2 linked regions of the Canis lupus familiaris genome follow. The protein of the gene in region 2 binds, or shares a complex with, the protein of the main gene of each other region. Links are inferred from orthologs where the notes say so. Each region holds a gene or a part of one and is shown on either strand. Other genes may lie near its edges.

Region 1 (4,430 bases), on a different chromosome or scaffold from region 2:
CTGTTCTAACAGGATCTTTCTGTAAATGCTATGTAGAGATGGAGCACCTTCCTCACGCACAATCCCGAGCAGCAGAAAGTTTCCAATAATCATGCAAATTTTAATTTGGACAAGTCACTGGGACCATGAAACAACCATGCCAGATTTCAAGCTATTTTTATTTTTTTCCACCAGTGATGCAAGACTCAGAAACTATTAAGTATGTCTTCCTAGAGGCTCACATAAGGAGCAGCACCAGTGCCAAGAAACTTCTGTACAAAAACCTCTAGCAAGAGATAAGAACCTAATCCCTAAGTTTCCCAGCCAAATACCTTCATCTGAATCCATGTATCTTATTGCTTAGAAAGTTTTCCAAGCATTTCCTTAATTTCTTGTAATTAAGAAAATCAACTGTAGCATACTTCTTTTAAAGTGATTTGTCTAAGTCTTCAAACTAACTTTAAGTTAAGTATGACATTTAAATGATACAAGCCAGAGTATAAAATTTCAGTAAGATACATTTTCCTACTTTTCAAGCTTCAATTTTTAAAAACTGTTCAAATCTAATATACAATAGAAACTTCTCAAAGGCAACTTTAAAGGGCGCTCGCTCTTGTTCATTAAAAGTTTTAATAGTGACTATGAAGCCTGACTCTAGAATCAAATCCAGCCTCTGTCACTTTCGTCGTTAGAGGTCTTAGGCAGTCATTTAACTTCCCTGAACCTCAGTTTTTCATAAGTAAAATGGGAATAACTGTGTAAAGACGGGATTGTAAAGATATGTAAAGCAATATATGTAAAGTAAGCTTAGCCCAGAACTTGATCAGTATTAATTATGACATATATTTAAATGCACAGACGAACTAACCATATCTAACAGATAGTCTGGATAAGTGAATCCCACCAGCAGTCCAAACTTCACCAGGCCAAACTTCATACCTTCTGTGCATGAGATTCTTCTTTTTTCCTTCCAGCTCACTCCCTTGTGATGGTTAATACTTAACAGTCCAATGACCTATCCCTAGGCAAGTCTAAATGGTTACATCACAAGCATCAGACTGAAGTGACTATATTTAACCCAGTATTCTGAGAAAGAGGAACCAGAAACTACTGCCTGGAACAGTATACTGCTATATGCTTATAAAGGCAAGCACCTTCAGAAGAAAAAAAACAACAACAGCAACAAACCACCTTTAGAGTGTAGTTGAGATTATCTAGCTGTCATTCGGGCACCAGTTTTGAACACTGAAGGACTTTAAAAAGTGAGCACTTGAAACAAAAGAAGTTGAACTCAAGACGGGAATTGTCTTTATCAGTGTTCTCCTCTTAAAAGTATAAAATTCTTTGTTAGACCCAAGTTTTGAAATATTGCTGTTCCAACTTTCGGATACACAAAGAGCGTAATGAGAATGAAAACCCGCAAACGCTTCTGGAAACCATGGAAATAATCATTAGCCTGGAGCCTTAAGATGCATTCGTTCATTTTTATTTCATTGCTTTTACCCCAATGGCATTAAAACCACCTACTGAATGGTAATTCATTTTCGAAAGAAAGCACTATTTTGCTTTAAATGCTAAGAGTTACAGGCACCAGGGAACTGTGCCTCACGGACAAATTCTTGGAACAAATTCTAGACCAGCACTGTCCACTAAAACTTTCAGTGATGGAAATGCTCTATATCTGGGGCTGTACAATTGGCAGCCACTACCTCCATGCGGCTACTGAGCACTTTAACTGTGGTTAGTTTGCCTGGGGGACTGAATTCTTAATTTTATTCAATTTAAAACAATGACGTTTAAATAACCACATGTGGCTTGTGGCTGCCATGCTGAGAGCAGCACAGGGTCTAGATTTTGCAGTTATTTACCCGAAAGAAACAAAGAGAGACTCACTAACGTACAAACCAGCCACCTGGGTTCCAGAAGCATCCGTCAAGTCAAAAACAAGGGGCCCAATCAATAGAGCAGGGCCTGTTATTTACTTGGAGGGGGCAAACTGGTGGGTTTCATTTAATGGTCTCCTCTCCGTTTTTTATCATCAAGCGGGCAATACCGAGCGATGAAGGCAACCTCGGTGAAGATAAGCAAAGCGAAGCTTCTATACCATCATCGTCATACCTGAAGTAAGGGCTGATCGCAGCCAGGACGTTTCTGTGACAGGAGAAGGTTCTCCCGTGATCCACTTCCACTACAATGTCTGTCAACTGTCCTTCATCGTACATTGTTTTGAGTTGCTTGAGAATACTGCACGCATGGAAGGGGTCCATGGCATCGTTGGCTGTGTCCGAAGATGGAATCCCATTCGGCGTTGGGGAGGCCTTATTCAAATCTAGGAGAAAAAAAACAAAAACAAAAACAAAAAAAAACAAAAAAACAAACCGAACGAACACAAGAAGTTCGGAGCCAGTTACGGCGTTCAGGCTCCCCATCCCCCACCCCCCCCCTCCCCTCCCCCCTCCCTTCCCCCCCACCCCCCCCCACACATCCTCCCCACCTCCAAAACTACATCTGTGTATACAGACAGCACCCAGTGGGGCCGCAGAGTGGGATCCGGGGGAGACGGCGCGGGGATGCGGGTCCAACACCCTCCGCTCCTGCGGGAGCCCGGCGAGCCCGCTGCCCCGTGCTCGCGGAGGGACCTGCAGGCGGCACCGGCGGCTCGGCCGGGAGCGGCGGAGCAGGAGCCTCACGAGGGAAGCTCGAAGGACGGCGGCCGCCGCTCAACCCCCTCAACCGCCTGATGCACCGGTCGGAGCGGCGGCGGGTACCCGGCCTCCCCATCTCTGCCCGGCCGGACCGCCCACCGCCCTCCACGCCACCCATCCATCCTCCCTCCCCTCATCCCTCCCCACCTCCCCATCCCCATCCTTCCCTCACGCCTCTTCTGCGCCACCTCCCCAGCTCGCAGCCTGAGCCGGGACCCCGGCGCGCCCCCCCCGCAACACACCTCCCTAGCCACCGCACGACCCACCTGCCGACGCGGCCATTTCTCGACGGGGCCCCGGCTCCAGCTATTTAAAGAGGAAATGTCATTTCGCTTCTCCAGCTCCCGGGTTCCGGCTCTTCTAAGCTTCACCTGGCCAATGGGGTGGCCTAGGCATCCGGCTCCGCCCCCAGCCTCCGAGTTCTGCGCTCCGATTGGCCACGACCCGCGCTAGGCGCTTCGGGAAGTGTAGTTTTATTGCCCCCGCTCCCGCGTGGTCCGAGAAGGGCGGAGGCCCACGCCGGTGGTTTCTATTGGCTGCTTGCGGCGGAGGTGGAGAGCTGGGAACTCGCCAGCCTGTGTCTGTGGGGCGCGCGGTGCCTGCCGGGAAACGTAGTCTTCTGGCTGAGTAGAGCTGTCATTCTGAGGGGCTAGGGTAGGGAAAGCTCTTCAAGTGCAAATTTCCCCATTTTAGGCCTCTCTCCAGGCCCCTGGCTCGCCTTTCCTCTTTTTTTTTTTTTCCTTGCACCTTGTTCTTCATTCCCCAAACCTCTCGCCAGCAACTAGCTTCCGGTATGAAAACGGGCTCTGCGTGAGAGCTGTGAAACCAGAAAAATTAGGACCTGGCCAAGAGGGCTGTGGTCCAAAAACGCGGAGGAAATCTGACACTCCACCCTGAAGTAAAATATCAAGAGGCCCCAAAGCAAGCCGTTCTCTGATGAGTCACCTGTGACACCCAATTGAAATAGCATCTAGCATCGCCCCCCCCCCCCACCCCCCCCACCGGCCGAATGCTCTGGTTTCTGCAGATTCATTTGGTCTGCACGAGGTCTCTAACTCCCACCTGTGCCTTGCTTTCCTCGAGCGCCCGGAGAACACCTGTTCCACTTGCAAGAGCGCGAAAGCAGGCTGCAAGGGGATTCGGGATGCTTTCCTCTCTGCTCCTGGGAAGTGGAGGAGTTAGGATGCTAGAGAGCCTGGGATTTCCTTTGGAGAAATATTGGAGGGTGCTCCGAACCTGAAGACCTGGCTGCTCCCTTACTAAGTAGAGAAGACTTTTTAATTCTTGAGCGCTCAGGGCCTTCACCTGTACCATGCGAATCACCACGAGGATTCCGTCTGCTTCATAGGCTGCAAGCTTTTTGGGAGAAAGATGGGGACCCCTGGGTGGCTCGGCGGTTTAGCGCCGCCTTCGGCCCGGGGGTGTGATGCTAGAGACCCGGGATCGAGTCCCGCGTCGGGCTCCCTGCATGGAGCCTGCTTCTCCCTCTGCCTGCGTCTCTGCCTCTCTCTATGTCTATCATGAATAAATAAATAAATAAAATCTCAAAAAAAAAAAAAGAATTTGGATTGTAAGTTGTGATGGAGAAAGAGAGAATGATGAAAAACAACCCAGCTCTCCTAGCTCTGCTGAAAACTTGAGAGCTCAAAAAATATATATGCTATAATTCCATTCAAATTAGCAAGAATTGAAGTTTCCTTGGGGCTGGGGTGTATGAACATTGATATACACTGTGTCTACACTCTG
Region 2 (4,475 bases):
AGTAAATATAGTTAATTCCCCACCCTGTTTGATTTCCAGGACTATTATTCAGACTATTATTCAGCTTTCCTGTATATAGTCCAGGTAATCCTAGGCAACTGTTACTTTCTCTAAGGAAATCTATTATGAAGATCAAAGCTGTTTTTTCCCAAATCTAGCAAATTTTACCACAGCTAGGAAAAACAAAATTAAGTGTCCCCAATTACCATTAAACTCTTGTGTTCTTAAGTACATCACAAATGATCTTAAAATTCATCTCCTTCTATTGTCATCCACTCTGTGGTTTCCCTCTAACAATAACCTCTACATGACTCACTGTCCATGCTACACAGGTAGAGCTCCAAGAAGCCAATCTAGGATTATGGAGTGGACATCACAACCAGAGATTCTTCATCATGACTATGCTCTATAATAACTGAAACCACTTCCAGATCACACACTTCTAAAGACCATCACTTTCATAATATGACTTCTAAACTCTGAAGGCTAAGTCAAGAAGGGACTATCAGAAGAGAGAGGAGCATTTTCATTCAAATATATCCCCTCCAATCCAATCAAGTTTTTTCAAGCCCATGTGGACAAAACCCATGTGGAAAGTACAGATGGAGAGGAATGGCTTTTCGAAGATAAAGGACAAAAGGTTCACCTGACAGCAACTAATTCTACATAGCAGAACAAAAGAAAAGCTCAGGAGTGAGACATTCAACAACAGCAAGGAAAGAAGAGCAGAAACTTCTTGGGGCAGCACTCTGATCCAAATCCATATAGCTTCCAAGAGTTTCGCAACTACAGCTTCCTTCCTTAAAAAAAAAATTTTGCCCCTTGCTGTTAATTTTGGGTACCAAAAAAAAAAAGTGAAATGACATATTTTGTGCAGTGTAGGAAAGCTTTCAGGCTGGGATAAACTTTAACTCCATCAACAATTTATGAATCCATAAAGTCCTCACTGTTTTCCATCTTAAAAAAGAACTAATTTCTCTTAAAATCTTACGAAAAGTTCTACTTAAAATGCAAATTGTAGATAAAACTGTGGTATGGCATAACTTACTCTTGGGAACAATAATGAAGGAACACTTAAAATATGTACTCAAAACACTAAAAGAACCTGATTTTACTGATGGGTCTGTATCTGGAATATGCTTACACATCTTATAGAATAGCCTGTGAGTTCACTTACCACTCTGTTTTGCAATGAAAACAAAACAATCTCAAAACATATTTTTACACTTTTTACACGTCGATTTTATAAAACAGAATCCTGAAATGAGCACCTGAGACCTTTGGTTAAACTATAATTTTCTTAAACTACAGTACCTACAATGCATGTCCAAAGATTAATACAAAATACTATATAGCTATAAATATTGTACATCTGTACCACATACAAACGCTATTTTTTCTTTATGGAACAGTATGCATTTACTACTAGAAGACTGCTAACCTGTAAGAAAAGAGAAATTTTGAAGGTCTATAAGGACTCATTTACCAAAGGGTAAGTCGGTGAAATATCATACCACTGAGGCATTTATCCAAGAAACTGTAACTTAGAAGTTTATAAATCAAAAAAAAATCTAGGTTCTTTTCAGTAGAAAGTTGTTACGAATATTATAAATCATGAAACATTGAAAAACTATGCTTTTAAAAATTAGCAGGTACTAAACTACTGAGTATCAAACAGTAGTCATTTATAAACTTCAATAAAGAATATTAGAAAATCTTAGATGGCAACAAGTTGTGGACAGAAAAGATCCAAATTAGCTCACAATCATTAACACACACACACAAAAAAAAAAATCAGTTTCAGGACTATGTGCTAACCTATCATATACTATACTCTTTTGCTAAAGGAATCATGAAATTCTTTCCTGCCTCTCCCAATAATAAATACAACATCCAGAAAGAAGGGATCTTTAGTCTTCAAGCTGTATTGACTTACTCCAAGCTCCTAGAACAGTGCCTGGCACACAGTACTCAGTCTTCATTAAACGAATGAGGGAATGAAGACCAGGTAGGAAGAGGTAAACCTAAATGGACGAAAAAGCTAATCACGCTTAAAGGTACAACTGGTTAATCGCAATATTAACAAAAGTGAGTTCATGTCAAATGTGAGCTATGCCGCATTATAGTAGTAAGTTTGAGTTAGAAGAACTCAGACTTCAAGAATAGCAAATTTTTCCTAGAAAACTTGTTATACAGAAAACTATTTGAAACTCTTAATAATTCGAAATCCTGCTAAACATGTTCACAACTGCTTTAGTAGCAAAACTAACATTACTCAAAAATTCCTAAGCCCAGCTCACTTCACTGTTAAGAGAAAACATGCTGACAGACTTCATTAGTTCTCTTCTGCATTAGTGTCTTCCCTCACTGCAAATCACACTTCAGAAAAAAGCAAGCCTTCCCACAGTGAATACAAACCCCACCTTTTCCCCCTTCCCAAAATATGACGTGTGTAGGATTCTAAGACATTCAAGATCTTTCCCCAGTTTTACTGTTGTTTTTTTTTTTTAAAAAAACAAAAAAAACAAAACCTTCCGTTCGACTGCTGGTTTGCCTTTCTTGACATATACCTGTTACCGTAGCGACGTGAGGCAAGAACGTCCAGTTTCTGTTACAACAGTACACTTTAATTGCTTGCCATGGGCTATCTGAATCAGGTATGGCATCCCAAGTTACACTCTCTACACTAAATAATGCCAGCGTATGACTCAACGTAACGCTAAAAAAGAAAGTTTCTAAACAGAGCAGCCTTTGCTGTCGCTGAAACCCACAGCGTAGAGCAACTCGGGGCAGTGACGACCCCCTCCTGCTGGGCTTCCACGGCTAAGATCTGGAGAGGCCATTGTCCAGCGTGTGTTCTCTGGCTTCCCCTTGACCCTCCTACAAGTGGCGAGGCCAATTCCTGCACAAGAAGAGTTTGTAAAGTGCTTTTGGACGCCTGTGGATGAAAGAGGCTATAAATACAGCTGACGAGGTTAGGTGCGTGCGTTACTACCGAGCAGTGCAAGGAGCCACGGTCACTGCGTCGGGGGGCGGGTAGGTGGGCGGCCAGCCCCCTTCCTGCGGAGGCACAGGACAGCCCCCTCCACCCCCCGAAAGGTCTGGCGGGCCCTGGTTGAGGCCGGGTTATTTTTGAGACCGCACGTGAAAAGTTCCACACACGCCCCCCCACACACGGAAGACTTCCACAGTCCCCGTCCCCGCGGGTGTGGTGGTCCCGGGGCGCCGGCAGGGAGGGGAGCACCGGGGGCCGGGCCTACCCCCCGGGAACGTGGGAAGGGGCCGGCCCAGGGGCCCCCGCCGCAGCCGCAGCAGCCGCCGCCCGCCCGCCCGCCGCCGCCGGCCCGAGGCTCCCGGGCGGGTGCGCGGCGCCGGCCTGAGGCGCCGGGGCCCCCGAGCCGCCCGCCCCGTGGCCGGGAAGGCTCGCGCCCCGCGGCCGGCGGCGTGGGGGAGGGGAGGCCGGGCCTGCGGCCTGTTGGGGGAGTTCAGCCCGGGCCTCGCGTGCGGCTCTCCGCCGGGCCCCCCGGCCCCGGGGTCCCAGGCGCCGAGGAGAGACTCACCGGAAAGGCCCGGATCCGCATCTTGGTGTCCTTCCGGCTGCCCGTGCCTTTGCTCAGATTCGACATGGTGCTCGTCCCCTCCCCGGCGGCGGCTTCGGGTCGCACTCCGAGGCGCCGGTGTCACATTTAAGGCGGGCGGGCCGGCGAGGGGCTGCGCTGGGGGGCGGCGGCGGCGGCGGCGGCGGCGGCGCGGCCCCCGGGCTGGGCTGGGGAGCGGGCCGGCCCCTGGGCGGCCGCGGCGGCTCGGGCTCCGGCGGCTCGGGCTCGGGCTCGGGCTCGGGCTCGGGCTCGGGCTCGGGCTGCGGCGGGGCTGGGCTGGGGGGGCTGCGCTGGCGCGGCGCCTCCGCGGGGTCCCCCTCACGCCCGGCTCGGCTCCCTTTATCGCGCTCCTCCGCGATGGCGGCGGCGGCGGCGACGGACAAACATCTCACTGCGCAGGCCGAACGTCCTCCTCCTCCTTCTCCTCCTCCGCCTCGACGAGACGAGATCCGGCCCAGAGGGTGGAGGGGGGAGGAGGGAGGGAGGAGAGCCGGAGAGTGGAGAGATCGGGGGGAGGGGGTGGGAGGACGGGAGGGGGAGGCGGGCGGCCGCGGCGGCGGGGCGGGGCGGGGACGCCGAGATCTCGCGAGACGAGGGCGAGCGCGCTGCCCCGGGTGGGGCGGGGCGAAGCCTGAGAGCGGGCGGGGTCCGCGGGAGGGGAGGAGGGGAGCGGGGAGTTGGGGGAGTGGGCGTGGCCAGCGGGGCGGGGAGGTTGGGTGAGGGGCGGGGCTGAAGGCGGGAGGAGAAAGCTGCCTTTTTGAAAGGGGAGCGACGGCGGCGCGGAGGTGGTTGCTGATTGGTGGAGCGCGGCGCGGGGTGGGAGGGGTCCCGGTCACGTGGGCGGAGGGGGCGGGGCGAGTCCTGAGAGCCGGAGCC

Evidence for each region.
Region 1: CUL3 (region 2) and KBTBD8 share a complex: the UniProt entries of both Homo sapiens proteins name them as parts of the BCR(KBTBD8) E3 ubiquitin ligase complex. The link is inferred for Canis lupus familiaris from reciprocal best matches to the Homo sapiens genes CUL3 and KBTBD8.

Annotation. Positions count from the first base shown.
Region 1 is NC_049241.1:24,616,739-24,621,168, forward strand, and holds the start of KBTBD8 (kelch repeat and BTB domain-containing protein 8), read right to left. Parts: upstream 3,108-4,430; 5' UTR 2,967-3,107; coding exon 2,951-2,966; intron 2,701-2,950; exon of another isoform or gene 2,474-2,700; intron 2,309-2,473; coding exon 2,098-2,308; intron 1-2,097. UniProt on the Homo sapiens protein: Substrate-specific adapter of a BCR (BTB-CUL3-RBX1) E3 ubiquitin ligase complex that acts as a regulator of neural crest specification.
Region 2 is NC_049246.1:38,009,252-38,013,726, forward strand, and holds the start of CUL3 (cullin-3), read right to left. Parts: upstream 2,859-4,475; 5' UTR 2,844-2,858; coding exon 2,772-2,843; exon of another isoform or gene 2,603-2,771; intron 2,592-2,602; exon of another isoform or gene 2,571-2,591; intron 1-2,570. UniProt on the Homo sapiens protein: Core component of multiple cullin-RING-based BCR (BTB-CUL3-RBX1) E3 ubiquitin-protein ligase complexes which mediate the ubiquitination and subsequent proteasomal degradation of target proteins.